2 linked regions of the Caenorhabditis elegans genome follow. The protein of the gene in region 1 interacts with the protein of each later gene in a pairwise test. Each region holds a gene or a part of one and is shown in the gene's direction. Other genes may lie near its edges.

Evidence for each region.
Region 2: the proteins of B0495.5 (region 1) and kin-20 interact in a two-hybrid assay, tested with the Caenorhabditis elegans proteins (2 studies listed by BioGRID).

Annotation. Positions count from the first base shown.
Region 1 is NC_003280.10:7,694,265-7,700,856, reverse strand, and holds B0495.5 (thioredoxin domain-containing protein), read left to right. Parts: upstream 1-2,362; 5' UTR 2,363-2,373; coding exon 2,374-2,411; intron 2,412-2,455; coding exon 2,456-2,598; intron 2,599-2,642; coding exon 2,643-2,797; intron 2,798-2,843; coding exon 2,844-2,987; intron 2,988-3,044; coding exon 3,045-4,308; intron 4,309-4,354; coding exon 4,355-4,490; intron 4,491-4,538; coding exon 4,539-4,848; 3' UTR 4,849-4,922; downstream 4,923-6,592. Other genes in the region: cdk-11.1 (Cyclin-dependent kinase 11.1), read right to left, coding at 1-364, 434-652, 703-794, 848-1,013, 1,057-1,180, 1,228-1,340, 1,386-1,436, 1,481-1,544; Protein moa-2, read left to right, coding at 1,824-1,935, 2,031-2,182.
Region 2 is NC_003284.9:15,267,017-15,276,523, reverse strand, and holds kin-20 (Casein kinase I), read left to right. Parts: upstream 1-2,784; 5' UTR 2,785-2,831; coding exon 2,832-3,372; intron 3,373-3,571; coding exon 3,572-4,014; intron 4,015-4,072; coding exon 4,073-4,196; intron 4,197-4,981; coding exon 4,982-5,297; intron 5,298-5,400; coding exon of another isoform or gene 5,401-5,419; exon of another isoform or gene 5,420-5,441; intron 5,442-5,775; coding exon of another isoform or gene 5,776-5,791; exon of another isoform or gene 5,792-5,864; intron 5,865-6,797; coding exon 6,798-6,867; 3' UTR 6,868-7,908; downstream 7,909-9,507. Other genes in the region: F46F2.5 (CDT1 domain-containing protein), read right to left, coding at 8,667-8,915. UniProt on the Caenorhabditis elegans protein: Essential serine/threonine-protein kinase that regulates diverse cellular growth and survival processes including Wnt signaling, DNA repair and circadian rhythms. Casein kinases are operationally defined by their preferential utilization of acidic proteins.

The DNA of each region.
Region 1 (6,592 bases):
ATTGGAAATCCTTCTTTCTCTTTCTCCATTTTCAGTCTTTTTAACGCGACAATCTCATCCGTTCGTTTATCTTTTCCACGATATACAACTCCAAATGTTCCTTCATCAACTCGATTCACACATTCATATTCATCAATATTTCTACATCCCATGAGACCGGGATAAAAAACAGGTAACTGGGCGATCAATGTTTTTTGTTTCATTGACGCACGTTTTTTCATTGCTTCTTTATGAAGTCTTTGTTCAGTTTCAGTCATTTCTTCCCATTCTCGATCTTCTGGTGTTTTTAAATATTTATCTTCATCGCTATCTGCATCATCATCCGAATGTAGAGCATCATCCAATACTTCTATGACATCGTCATCTATAATTGATTTAAATGAATAAAAGTATAACTTAATTGTTTCAATTTTGATACTGGGCAAATTTTTACCGTCTTCAGCTTTTCCAGGGCTCTTCGGTTTAGTATCGTCATGATCACTTTCTGGGTCGCTTTCGAATTTTGAGTATTTCTTGGGGCCAGCTGGTGAGTCTATAGTGAATTCGACAATTTCTTTCTCTTCCTTTTCTTCTAATATCTCAATTGGCGACATTTCTACATCTTCAATCACGAGAACATCGTCATCTTTCTTTTTGTAGTTCGGGTCGAGAACTGAAATTTTCAAAATTAAATCACTATAAAATGTATGTGGTTTAAAATACTTCTATCAAAGAGCTTTGCATCTGCTGGAACATCTGTATGTTTTGACTTTTTGTGTGGCGATTTGTCATTATCAGGAGAAGTTGTGCTGGATCTAAAAAATCAAACAAAAATTATTAATTTCTTTTCAGAAAGAAACGAACTTACTTTTTATGACGATCAATATGCCTTTTGTGTTTTTCTGAGTCTCTTTCAGACGAACGATCTCTGTTACTTCTGTTTGTGCGGTGCCCATCTGTTTCGTGTTTTCTATGATGGTGATGATGTCTATGTTCATGTACTTTCTGATCTCTTCCAGATCTTTCCTGTCGTCCTAAAAGTATTAATAAGTACCTCTTATTCTATTTGCTGATTACCTTTGAAATCACGATCTTTTTGTCGAGCATCTGGTCCACGCACGTCTCTTCTGTCATCTCGTTTGTCCTTTTCCCGTTTTTTATCTCTTTCTTTATCTCGATATCGGTCCTCTTTTGCCTTTTGCTGTGAATTAATAATTTTAAAACAGTAATACACAAAAATTAACATACAGCGTTTTTAGGCTGTATTGAAAACCGTTGTTCTGTGGTATCATCATCGCTTTCACTGTTCTTCCGCTTGCTCAGACGACTTAATATGCTTTCACGCATTTTTGATTCCAAACCTGAAATTTATAATTAGTAGTTTCAAATTTAATCACTTTATATACCTTTGTTCGACTTGGCTGGATTTGGCTCATCGGAACTCGACGCTCTTTGACCTAGAAATAATAAGTTACACTCAAAACTTGTGAAACCTACTTACTTTTCTTGTGACTTTCATCTGACAGCTCACCTTCGTCATGAGAACTTCCCAAGTGGTCGCTCATAATGATTTTATCTTGAAAACGAAATAATTCTGAATATAAATTTAACAATTTTGATCAAGAAAACATTTTCGAATAGGAGTACGGTGGACAAGTACGCAAACACCGATTACACCTCGTGCGCGCATTCTTACGACACTTGTTTTTTTTATCGTTTTTAAAAACAGCGACGACTTCTTAAATAATCTTTTATCTATAAGTTTCATGTGTTCCCTCTTTTTTATTTATATAAATTCACTGTTACATTGGTTTCTTCGTTAAATATTAGTAGATTTCCAGAAAATGGCTCTTCCCGGAGAACGATTCCACGTTCTTGCTCAATTGGAGCATCTTCAATCGAAATACACCGGTACGGCCATGCGACATGAACCGTCACGAATGGATTGTGAATCAGGTTTGTTTCTCTCTTTTTCTCATAAATTTCTTTAAAACGGTAAACGGCTACTGCCAAAATCTATAGAAAGTTTGAATAAACAAATAATATTCCAGCACCGCGACACTCGCGCCTTTCAAATGTCTCATCCCGGAATGAACACGTATATTGCCGTTGTGGAGAACGAGAGCCGAGCTCGAACCCGCTTCAATCTGATAAATCGCATGATTCAGCCGTGTGGACCGCCTCCAGAGAAGAATCCTCTTGATGACGCCTAACTATCTGAATAACTTATTTTATATTTTTTATGAAGTAATTTGATCTCCATTCAATGTGTTTGAGAATATTTAACCTTGAGTAGAAATTTGGAAAAAATGTTGGTTACTCTATGATACTTCATGGTAGCTCGTGTTAGTGATAATTTATTTTAGAAAAGATAACAATTCAGAGACAGTGTTGATGTTAAGAGCGCTTGCACCAATAACTGTTATCCGAATGTAAGTTTATTCAATTATGAAAATTGTAAAGCAAAACAAATCAGGACTTCAACGTACAAAAATCGTCTTGGACAGGAAAAGAGTCCTTACCTCCTCCAGCATGCAAACAATCCCATCGATTGGTATCCGTGGGGACAAGAAGCATTCCAGAAGGCTAAAGATAATAACAAACCTATCTTCCTGTCAGGTAGATAATCAAAATATATTATCAAACAAACTTTAATATTTCAGTTGGATATTCAACTTGTCACTGGTGTCATGTGATGGAAAAAGAATCATTTGAAAATGAGGCAACAGCAAAAATCCTGAACGACAACTTCGTGGCTATCAAAGTTGACAGAGAAGAACGACCAGACGTTGATAAACTCTATATGGCTTTTGTCGTGGTATGAAACAAAATTAAAATTGTTTTAATCAATATCTCCATCTCAGGCTTCAAGTGGACACGGTGGATGGCCAATGTCAGTTTTCCTAACACCGGATCTTCATCCAATCACTGGCGGAACCTATTTTCCACCAGACGACAACCGTGGAATGCTCGGCTTTCCAACTATCCTCAACATGATTCATACTGAAGTAGGTGCCACAAAATCTTTTCATTTAAAAATTAGCCAAAGTTTTAAAATTTTTCAGTGGAAAAAAGAAGGAGAGAGTTTGAAACAACGCGGAGCCCAAATTATCAAACTTCTTCAACCTGAAACTGCTTCTGGGGATGTCAATAGATCCGAAGAAGTGTTCAAATCAATATATTCTCACAAACAATCATCTTTTGACAGCAGACTTGGAGGATTTGGCAGAGCTCCGAAATTTCCAAAAGCTTGTGATTTAGATTTTCTAATCACTTTTGCTGCAAGCGAGAATGAATCCGAAAAAGCCAAAGACAGTATCATGATGCTTCAAAAAACTTTGGAATCAATGGCTGATGGAGGAATCCATGATCATATTGGAAATGGATTTCATCGATATTCTGTCGGATCCGAATGGCATATTCCACATTTTGAGAAAATGTTGTATGATCAATCTCAGCTATTGGCTACATATTCAGATTTTCATAAATTGACAGAAAGAAAACATGATAATGTAAAGCATGTCATTAATGACATCTACCAATACATGCAAAAGATCAGTCATAAAGATGGTGGATTCTATGCTGCAGAAGATGCTGATTCCTTGCCAAATCATAATTCTTCGAATAAAGTTGAAGGAGCGTTTTGTGCTTGGGAGAAAGAAGAAATTAAACAATTATTGGGAGACAAGAAAATTGGATCAGCTTCACTTTTCGATGTAGTTGCTGATTATTTCGATGTTGAAGATAGTGGAAATGTTGCACGATCTTCGGATCCCCATGGTGAACTGAAGAATAAAAATGTCCTGAGAAAGTTGCTGACTGATGAGGAGTGTGCCACGAATCACGAAATATCTGTTGCGGAACTCAAGAAAGGAATCGATGAAGCAAAAGAAATTTTGTGGAATGCTCGAACACAAAGACCAAGCCCACATCTTGATTCAAAAATGGTTACTTCGTGGCAAGGACTAGCAATCACAGGACTTGTGAAAGCATATCAAGCTACTGAAGAAACAAAATATTTGGATCGAGCTGAAAAGTGTGCAGAATTCATCGGAAAATTTTTAGACGATAATGGAGAGCTTAGAAGATCTGTATATTTGGGTGCTAATGGAGAAGTTGAACAAGGCAATCAAGAAATAAGAGCATTTTCTGACGATTATGCGTTTTTGATTCAAGCTCTTTTGGATCTCTATACAACAGTTGGCAAAGATGAATATCTCAAGAAAGCCGTTGAGCTTCAGAAAATTTGTGATGTAAAGTTCTGGAACGGAAATGGATACTTCATCAGCGAGAAAACCGATGAAGATGTTTCTGTGAGAATGATTGAAGGTTACTATTTTAATTTTGATTAGTACACATAACACTTAAATTTCAGATCAAGATGGAGCAGAGCCCACAGCCACTTCAATCGCATCAAACAACCTTCTTAGGCTTTATGACATTCTTGAAAAGGAGGAATATCGTGAGAAGGCGAATCAGTGTTTCCGGGGAGCTTCAGAGCGACTGAATACGTAATATCGAACAACTTTTGCTTGAGCTCGCAACATTTTTAATTTTAGGGTCCCAATCGCCCTACCAAAAATGGCAGTCGCACTTCATCGATGGCAAATTGGATCTACCACATTTGTTCTCGTTGGTGATCCGAAATCTGAACTTTTGTCCGAAACTCGAAGCCGACTGAATCAAAAGTTCTTGAATAACCTGTCTGTTGTACATATTCAATCAGAAGAAGATTTGTCAGCATCGGGACCTTCTCATAAGGCAATGGCTGAAGGACCGAAACCTGCAGTGTACATGTGTAAAGGATTCGTTTGTGATAGACCAGTTAAAGCCATTCAGGAATTAGAAGAACTATTCAATAAATTCTGAATGTGTAGATTTTGTCTTATCCAGATACTGTAAATATGTCATTTTTTGTCAGTTGAATAAACGCTTAGTCATTTATCGAACATCAGTTTCAGCTTTGTGGCGACCACCACGTGTCTACTGATAAATTAACAGATTGTACTACTTTGCATGTAATGTGCTAGAGGACGGTTCTCTTATCATCACAGGCACTGACGACACTGCCAAAGTTTTACAAGCTAATTTATTAGCGCTCTTCGGCCGCAATGGCACGATTTGAATTGGTTTATTGATTCCAGAGACTAGTTTCAGTTTTTGATAAGAATGAATTATTATTCATTTTCTAGTTTATGAATATATATGTAACTAGGGAAGCCTATTTATGATTTTTCTAATTTTTTAAAATTGTTATTTTAGAGAGGTGTGAAATTAAAATGATATATATTTTCGAGTACTTTAAAAAATAAAAACGGTACATCCTATATTAAATTTTTGATTTTAGATCCTTCCAAGTTATTGACAAGTATTAACTGCACTTCTCATAAAAATTTTTCAAATAGATCTATTTAGTCTGGAATAGGAATACTTTTGGCAATTTTCTTGAGAATCATAGAAGACGAATTTCTGAACTGCTCTTTGTGAAGCCACGCCCATATATTGGCATTTTTGTATCCAATTTTTTGTAGAGTACCTGAATCATTATCACTACATCTGCTAAACAATATATGGAAGTTCTATGAGAGGTGAAAGGTAAATCATATAACAACTGTAATAACATAGAAATGATTGTAGTATATTTCCAATTAGGCTGAGTTGATCTTATTGAAGAGTTTGAATCATAGCAATTTTTTCCTCTTTTAGTATTTTTCAAAACAAATTTTCACAATGTTAGATGTAGTATTTAGCATTAAGGCATCTGTAATCTCCCAGAAATGTTTTGGGAATAAAACCCTTTGACTCTTTGGTCCTTTTTTGCTCCAAATAATATCTGATTTTAACCCGTTCTGATCTACTTTTTACCTTTCGATCGTCACATCCGCGTACACGTTTCTCTTGCTCTCAATTGCTTATCTTTATGGCCTTTTCCCCCACTTTTTGTCGACTATCATGCGGACGTGGCTTCCTTGCTCCCTCCCGGTTTTTTTGAAAACACTTGTGAATTTATTTTTTGTGGTCAAAATTACGAAACATTTGAATTCTCAATCTATTTATAGACCGGGTGTGGTATGTTATGCCATGTTTTTGTCATTGCCAAATGAACATCGATATTTTAATTTTCTGAACTTACCGTACCCCCTGCGTTACTATTTTATTTTTAATTTGTATAATTTCATTGCTATAATTTGTTGTCCTTGAAACATTGAAGATATCGAAGAAATAATGACAAAAATCAGATAGAACAATTTTTCCTACTCATCAACTCACATTTTTCTATTTTCTCTTGTGCGAAAAAAATAGTATATTGGGAATATTTATAGTATTGCAACTTTTCTCTTAGTTCGCAGAGTTGCAATACTACTAGATCCCTAATAGAGGAAATATGGTGACCAGCTTTTTGCAATTGGAAAGTTGGGAAAAAAGTATATATATTAATAGACTTACACTCTTGTAGTTCGTAGAATTTTTCAGGAAATCTGACACGCAAGACTTTTTCAAAAAGTTTTTTTTTTTAATTTGGCAATCTGCCAAAACGTTTACTGAACATTTTGAAAACATCTACCAGTACCTTTAACACAACGAAAAATTGTTCTAAGCAATATTAACTGTG
Region 2 (9,507 bases), on another chromosome or scaffold:
CCTGGATTGCATTGATTGAAAATTTCGCAACCGCCTTGAACATTTTATTGTACATTTAATTTTCTCTTATCTTTGCCGATGTGGAATTTTATCAATCTTTTTTTTCTTGCTTACCCCCTCTCCCCACCCTACAAAAAAGCACAACTGATATGATGAGATCAGTGCGACTAGACGTACTTTCTGAAAGTGCCGGAAAGTGTGCCTTGCCAGAGCAGCTGAAAAACAAAATACTCTTTTGTACTTTCCGCTTCGAATGTGCACTTTTAAATAGACGTACATGCACTATAGTACGAGTGCCGGTGGGCGCGCACAGAAAAAATTTATATATATCCATATATATATATATATTTCAGCACAGCGCCCTCCGCCTCCCAATCGGCCTATCTGGTTGTCTAGGACATGCAGTGCGAGCGTGCGCGTGCGTGTATTTGAACAACCTTTTCGATATCGTCGCACCCACAACTGTTTCGCCTGTATTCCGTGCAATTCATCCCACCACCCATCTGCTATCGTCTTTCACGTCGCCCTGCCTATTTGACTATGATAGTGTTGGGAGTTGCTGGAGGGGGAAGGAAAGCGGCAGATGCACTTTTGCTCGGAGTTTTTTTTTGTCATGTCGGCGGCCGACGCGGCGCCGGCGGTCGTGGTGCAGCAGCTCCCCCATGTGTCCTTGATTTTCCCATTCGTTCTACACACTCTCATTTTCAAATGAGAGTTTTTCCGCGCAGGGTGGCCGTCCCCGTCCCCCAATCTATCTTTCCACATACACCGTAGCAGCAGCAGCAGCAGCAGTAGCAGCAAAAGCACCCTTTCGCAAGGGCGCTAGACCGGTTTTTCTTTCCACAAGGCGGGCGGGCGCGCGCGCGGCGAGCGCTCGTCCCAATGTCCTCACTTTTATCCTTCCACCCCTCCTCCTCCTGTCTGGCCCTCCCCTTCTCCCACTATCACCACAGTCTGGTCTCTCTCTCCCACGTTGTATTTGTGTGTGTGTGTGTGTGTGTGTGTGTGTGTGTGTGTGTGTGTGTGAGTGTGTGAGCGCTGTTAGAGCGAAATGGAAAGTGAAAAAGGTGAGAGCGAGGAGAATTCAGAGAAGCACACAGAAAATGTGGGGGGGGAGAAGAAAGGGCTGTTTCTGTCTGGCCTGCAACGCGCCGCAGCCGCACGGTTAGGGCGCTGCTACGCGTCGCGTCGGCAGGCGCGCTTTCGATCTCTCCCCTCTTATTCCTACCGCCACCCCGCAAGCTTCGCCTTCGCCGCGCTGTCTAATACGCTTTCTATCCGTCCATCTCTCTTTCCATATCTCTCTCTCTCCGTCTTTTTGATCCATCGCTACGTTGTTCTGTATACAACGCAGAAAGACTACGTGAAGGCGACGCACTGCCGCCGCAGCAGTCCCCAGCAGCAGCAGCATCCTTTCCTTTCTGTTTCGCCCTCGTTTCCGCATCCATTGCTTTTCTTCTTCTCCATCTCTTCATCTTTCACTTTCCAAACTGTTTCTTGTACGATTGCACTTTCGTTTCTATTCCCTCCCCGTCGGTTTTTCGCTTTCCCTCGTTGTTTCTTCGAACCTGACTTGACTAACTAGGGATTTTTTTTGTTTTTCTATATAGTGTTTTTAGAGTTTTTATAGCGAAAATTTGAAAAAAAAATGAATGCTTTAAGTTTTTCGCCTTTTTTCGAGGTTTCAAAGGTACCTTACAAACGCCTGTTAAGTTTTCTGATCTAAAACATAAAAAAATTATGTAAACATTTGAGACATTTCTGATATAAAATGTTTATACGCAGCATAAGAAGTGCATAAGAAATTTTAATTTTTGCCTAATCAATAATTTTTTTGTTAAATTCATATCCTTGAAATGTTTCATTCAAACTTTTGATTTTTGAACTTTTGCGTACCCTCATCATTGGGAACACAACCCATTTGTACCTGTTCCACAATTTACCTAAAGATCAATTTTCGCATTTATTTGCCCAGTCAGTAACGTGATGTTTGTTTCTCCCCCCCCCCCCCCTTCTCCACCTTTCCTCTTATTCTTGGTTTTCCCCCCTTCTCTTTTGCGTACTATTTCGGATCATCACAAAGGTCGATTTTCTGCACCTCTGCGCTTCACCATCCAACATGATATCTCTCTCGTTCGCTCGCCCAGAAGTCATTTCGAACTGATTTGCCAAAAAGAGGACGCGCGTGAGATAGAGGAAAAGGGAGCGAGCGCAGAAGCAGCGCGAGGTGACAGAAAAACGCCTGAAAACACGTTTTCTTCTGTCGTTCCCCTCCCACTTTCCATTTTTTTTTGCCGCAAGGTTAGATTGCACACGTCAGATGTAAGAACAAAGCACTTTTGTGTGTGTATGTGTGTGTGCGTGTGTGTGTATGGTGACTGTCCCTGTCCCTGTGTGTGAGGCCATTTGCGCACTTGGCACGAAAATCTAGTTTTTCAACGCATTAAAAAGTGAGATAGAGAAGCAACAAAAAAAGAGACACCAACAAGAAAAACTTTATCTCTTTCACTTTTTTTTCACTGTTTGCGTTCGTTCCGTTCCTTGTTAGGGGGAACTTCAATGAGGGGTTTACGTAGACTTTTAGTGCAAGTACTTTCTCTGTTTTCAATTTCAACTGTTTTCAATCTTTGGCTCAGACTTATCAGTATTCTATTTTGTGGCTCGTGTTTCTCTCACGTGACACTTTTCCTCTCCTCCTATCTTTGCCAAATTTTTTTTTCTGATTGCTTCATTTGACTCTTCGTTTTGGCGTATTTCTAACCAAACTCGACTCTCTGATTTTTGCCACGTTTTAGCTGGAGGGTGTCTGTCCCGATTGTGCAGAGAGGTGTATGGCGACAATGTCAAATGATGCCGCCGCTGCAGCAACCTGGCACAACAACACGAGCACACCGATGGACACCACCGAACCAGCCACGAACAGTCATAATCCCGGTGAAACGGCGGTGATCGGTGGCCCAGAGGCCCTATTATTACCATCTGGCAGCGGGCCAGAGGAAATGAATAGGCACCCTCTGTTGATGGCGCAAGCACACGGAGAACACCATCAGCCACGGCTGCTCCATAATTTTCCAGTCATACCTCCACCTATACAGCAACACCAACAACCTCCTCTATTACAACAAGCTCAACCTTCTCAAATACCACATCCAACTCAACCCCAAATAGACCCCACAATGTTCACACAACAGTCTGGATTCAATTGGCCGCCCATAGACCCGAATACAATAGCAGCGTTGGCTCAGGCACAGCTAGCATCTTCTCATGCACAATTTGTGTCGTTGGCTTTAACGCTTGATCCAACGCTATTATCACATTTTTTGGCGACACAGCAGATACCTCCAGTTCCGCAGCCATTAGTGCACAAGAAAGGTGAATAAGCGGGGTGGCTTGGCAAAAGGTCATGAAAAGTGAAAGGCTTTTCGAACAAAAAAAAACTTGATTTTAATCGCGCCAGTAGTCAGGTAGTAAAATGCGCTTTACGTCAATGTCAGAGCGATTTGAAATCTAAAGTGCAAAATTCACAATACCAGATTTATGAATTGTGAATAATATATATTCAAATTTTCAGCGGAGATGGAACTTCGTGTCGGCAATCGTTTCCGCCTCGGTCGCAAAATCGGAAGCGGCTCGTTCGGTGACATCTACTTGGGTCAAAATATTCAAACAAATGAAGAAGTGGCGGTGAAGCTGGAATGTGTCAAATCCAAACACCCTCAGCTGCACATTGAATCACGGCTCTACCGCATAATGCTCGGAGGCATTGGAATTCCAGAGATTCGGTGGTGCGGGCAGGAAGGTGACTACAACGTTATGGTGATGGAGTTACTAGGCCCTTCACTCGAGGATCTGTTCAACTTTTGCCAACGAAAATTCTCGCTGAAAACCGTCCTGCTGCTTGCCGATCAAATGTTGTCTCGTGTGGAATTTATTCATTGCCGAGATTACATTCATCGCGATATTAAGCCGGATAACTTTTTGATGGGTCTTGGAAAGCGAGGAAATCTGGTCTATGTAAGTTTTTCTTTTGTGAGGGATTAGCCAGCCTACTATGTTGTGCCTTTTTTTGCAGATTATTGATTTTGGACTAGCGAAACGCTATCGTGATAGCAAACATCAACATATCGCATATCGGGAAAATAAGAATCTAACTGGAACTGCAAGATACGCCAGTATAAATACTCATCGAGGAATTGGTATGTTTTTGAAGTTGCATTAACAGTGAAGCACTTCAAAGGTGGAGTAGCACCAGTGGGGAAAGTGTTAAAAACTACTCCTATGGAGCCGAAATGAGCGAATAACAAAATAAAACTTTTCAAAAAAAAATTTGAAAATTTTTTATTTACAGTCAAAAAGTGACAAATACTTAGTTTTTACCACTCATAATTTTGAAAGTCGACCAAAAACACATTTTCCTACATTTTTTATAATTTAAATTTGTTGTAATTATTGCGACATTTCTTTGAATTTCCTCAAAAGCTTATGTGTGTTTCAAAAACTTTGGCAATTTGCCAAAACTTTGACCAGAAAATTTAAAAAAAATCTAAAATTTTTTGAAGTGTTTTGTTATGATATTCGGTCGTTTTGGAACATTATAAGTTTATTTAGCAAAAATCCCCTCTAGCGCTGCTCCACCTTTAAAAATGAAACGCAATATTTTTACAGTAACAGTAAAAATCATGATCCTATAATTTTTTTTTGAAAATTTGATAACCATTTCTTCCAACCCAAAGAATAATCCATTATTCGCCCATTCACACGTGGGGTTAGGTTGTCCCATTACGGTTTGATCTACTAAAAATGGGGGAATTTTTTGCCCAAAAAATGTGACGTCAGCAGGCTCTTAACCATGAGAAATCAGTTGAGAAGCCTGCGTCTCTTCTCCCGCATTTTCCGAAGATCTACGTAGATCAAACCAAAATGGGGCACGCTGACACCACGTGCATTCATACAACTTTGAATCAATTTGTTTTTTTTTCAGAACAATCACGAAGAGACGACATTGAGTCTCTTGGCTACGTGTTTATGTACTTTAATCGTGGAACTCTCCCGTGGCAGGGACTAAAAGCTGTCACAAAGCGGCAAAAGTATGAGCTGATATCAGAGAAGAAGATTTCGACGCGAGTTGACGACCTGTGCGCTGGCTACCCCGAGGCGTTTGCCCAGTACCTCAACTATTGCCGTAGTCTTGGATTTGAAGAGCAGCCTGATTATGGTTATTTGAGAAATTTGTTCCGCACGTTATTCCATCGGCAACAGTTTTGCTATGACTACGTGTTTGACTGGAATACATACAAGTGAGTGTTTCCTATTGATTTTTCTATTGATTTGCAAAGATTTTGAAACAAAAAAATATAGAAAATGGAGAAGAAAACGAAGGCAATCCCCTAATTTTTCCAGATTTGACTTGCCATTTTAACTCAAATTCCCCTCAAAAAAAGGTTTCTCACACACGTTCTGTTGTGATGTGTGTGTGTGTATTTTTCTTTGTTGTTTTGTACTTCTTCTTTCTGCTATTTTAATTTTAATATTTCAAGCTGTTTTCTTTCTTGCTTAGAATTTTGATTTCATCATTTTTTCATAAACTATAGCTTATTTCCGTTGGTGTCTCGTCACTGTGATGTTGCTAAACCGACGAGTGAAACAAATAGTATGTAGTGGCTAGATGATAATGCTTTTGAACGAATAACCGGTAAACTAGCGGTGTACTTTGCTTTCATTTTTCTACATTCACCAAATAATACAAAACTACTGACACGCTTTGTGTTTTTACAGATTTCGTCGCAACTGAAACTGATCGCATTGTGTGTCTGAAAATCCAAATAAAAACATACTATCCTAAGAATAGATTTGAACTGCCAGAGGTAAGAGTTGAGCACCACCACCACCGCACGTTTCCAATTTGCACCCGTTTTAACCAATCACTAATTTGGATTTTTGACTTTTTTTTAATTTTGAAAAAATCGAAAAATATCTCTAGTAACTAAAAACAAATTAGTCTTGCATACAGCAAAAAAAATATCTTCAAATTTTTTCCTATATAAAGCTCCGCCCATATCTTGGTTTTTTGGAATATTTTTGAACACGTACACTTTTTCGTTTTAAAGGTGGAAAAGCGCCAGTAAGAAAATGGGAGCAGAAATTGATAAAAAACCACTCCTATAATACAATGCCAAAATTGCCAAATATCATAGTAAAACGTTTCAAAAAAGGATATTGAAAATTCTTTTATTGACAGTTCCAAAGTGGCATTTGCCCCAGGTCTTGCCGCTTTTTTGAAAACGGCGGATCAGAAAAAAATTTTTGCTCCGAATTTTATGGCCTAAATTATTACTTGTGAATTGTAGGGATTCAAGAATGCGACAGTGCTCTAGTTTTGGAAATTTTAAAAGTGGAAAAACTTACGAATTGCCACTTTTTGACTGTCAATAAATATTTTTCAAAAAATTTTCCGAAAAGTTTTACTACGATATTTGGTTTTTTTTGGCACCATAGAAGTGGTTTTTAACAATTCTCCCAATGGTGTTACTTCACTTTTGCAACATTTTCAACCCAAAACTTTGAAAAGTTCACTTAATATTCCCCAACGAGTAATGTACTTATCTGTTTTGAAAAAAATGCCTCAATTTTTCACGAAAATTTAGTTTTTTTTTTGTTTTCCCTGTGTTTTCCTTTGTTGAAAATCTCGTAATTGGAAAATTCAAATTGTTATTTTTTAAAAATTTAAATTACAATTTTCAAATTCCCTGCACTCACCGTACTCGAGCAACTTTGATTCCAGAATTTCAATTTTGCAGATTCTACAACGAAAGTCTGGAGGCTCGGAACAATTTCCAGCAAGCGGTACCAAATCAACGTCGACATTAATTGTATCATCTCCTTTTCAAGTTTGTGCTCCATTTCCTCTTTAATATCTCATTTCTTACCCCCGTTTTGTGATACTATTCATGTTTCATTTGCCTCTTCCTTTTCTCCTCCTTCCTGTCTCTTTTTTTCCTCTGTGTTTTTTTGTTGTTTTCTTAAAAACAACAACAACAACAACAACCTGTTTCTAGTATTTCACTTGCAACGTTTTCTTCCATTTCTCTCTGTTCATTTTCCTCGCTCTGTCATTGATCTTTGTCTCAGTTTTTTCGGATGTATATTTTTACTTTTTTGACTTTTTTTTGTCTTCTTAATTGTTCCAGCTTAACAATCGTCTCTTTCTCTTACGAGTTTGGGTTTTTTGAACTTTTTTTCTAATTTTTCCAATTCATCGTTTACTTCTTTTCATATTATGAATACAATATACTAGATCATAGGATTTTGAATAAAAAACTGCCTTCATCCTTTTCGGACTATCTCTCTTACCTTTCTCACTGTTTCTTTTTTTCTCTCACTCGCTCCCCTCAACCTCTCTCTCTCTCTCACTCTCACTCAATCTGTCGCAATTAAAAGAATATATATATATATACATATAATATATATATATATATATATAACTTACCTCATTATATTGTGATTTAGGAAACAGTAATGTAACTACCACTTTTTTCTAATTTTCCCCCCTCAATCATTCCTTTTTGCGCAGAACGTTTCCAAAAAAAAAAACCAATTCTTGGCAATGCCGTGTGTCGTAAATGTGTCCTTTTTAATTTTACTTTTTCCTTTTTACACTTTTTTTGAAAATTATTGATTAATATGGTGTTTTTTTAATTCTCAAACGTCGCTTCTGCGGGTGAAGAGACCTACTGTATCAAACTTGATCCCCTCAATCCCCCCTCGCCCCGTCCCAATTCCTTTCTTCTCACAAAAGTTCACCTTTTATTTTTGCAGACTGGTAAAATGTATGTTTTGTCATTTTCTTTAATTCCTTATCCTTCTATTTTTTTGTTGTTCAAATGATTTCAAAAAAAAAAACAATTTTTTTCAAGCAAGCATTTTATATGTTGAGCAAATGTATGAGAGCACACTACACAGGTTGGGCGGAAGTGAACATTTAAGGGGATGGGTCAAATTTGAAAAAAAAACAACAACATACATAAGAACATATAAATTCTATATTACAGTAAGAATACGAAAATTGTTAATAGATTGCAATGGCCTTGTTTTGTAAAAAACACATCATTTGAAAAAAATTGTTGCATCAACTACACAAGTGCAAGAGTATTTAATAAAATCCATGTAAATTCAAATATTGCTGTTTTCCTAATTTTTACCTACTACTACCGGTTCAGAGAGTGGTATCAGTTGCAGAAACACAGACATCTTGGGATGTTTCCCAATGGGCGGGGTTGCGGGAAGAGCCGATTTGTGTGGATTTACGGAACGCTTTATAAATCGACACAAAATGGTTTTTCGCGCGCCCGTTCCCTTGGGCCTCGAGATGCATTGGTTTTTCAACTGACTACAATCTCTAGACCGGTGATATGACAAACGTTTGAAAATTTTTCAAAACATTTTATCTTGATATTTTAATTATTCAGTTTTAAGATAACTTTAGCATTTTTAAAGTAACAAATCCAACGCTATTCCACATTTAAGATCCTAATAATTTTTTTCTATTTATAAACAGTATACGAATAACATTTTTTTTCCAAAACATCTGACATTTGCAAAATATTCACAACCTTCCCTAATACAATATGTTAACATTTTAATCTGATTATTTACAGTTATACAGGTAATCATGGATACATCTTGATGCTGGCTACTATTTCGGCGGCTGTTTTACTCCTGGTTGCGCTCTTGTTTGCCATTTGAATTGCAGACGGGAACAAATTACATCCGAGAAAATCCTTGACGTCTCGCCAGATTTGTGCCTGTTTTCGAGCGCTATTCGCAATTATCTGGTTGGTTCGGACGCGCGAGTAGCGGTCGAATGTCTCGCCAAGAGCATCTTCAATGACTTCGAGCAGTGCTTCACGTTCCTCAATCTGAAGAAAACAATTAAGATTGGCTGTAATGAACAATAAAGCTTCAAAAGAAACAGCTAAAATTAAATGTTTTTAGATTAAAAAAAAAGGATTAAATGACGATCCGTTCTTCAAACGCTATGCACTGCGGATCTGGAATTCAGGTACACTGCCTGGTGGTGATTCCACTGGGCTATAATTTAAACCACGGCCTAGCCGGAGACTGTGGCCGATAATCCAGTCGTGGATTGCTCCACCTCACAATAGAGGCTGGGTGAGCCTAGGGGGTGAGACCGGACTTAAACTCGTGACCTCCAGATTGCTAGCGGCCACCACTACCGACTGAGCTATCCTGATTTTAAATACAACATAAATAATTAAGTTTAACTGTGTTAAATGTGTGAAATCAGATGTTCATTCGTTATTTTTTGAACTTCAATTAAATATTATCTACAGAAAATTTAATGTCAACTGATATTAGTAAATTACTTTTTGAAACACTCATATTAACATTCATCTATGTACATTGAGTGGCCGTAGTGAAAATTTAACAATCCCGAGCGTAGTTTTCTTTTTACGTAACAAACTCCCTACTTACTAGCTCAAAAAAAAG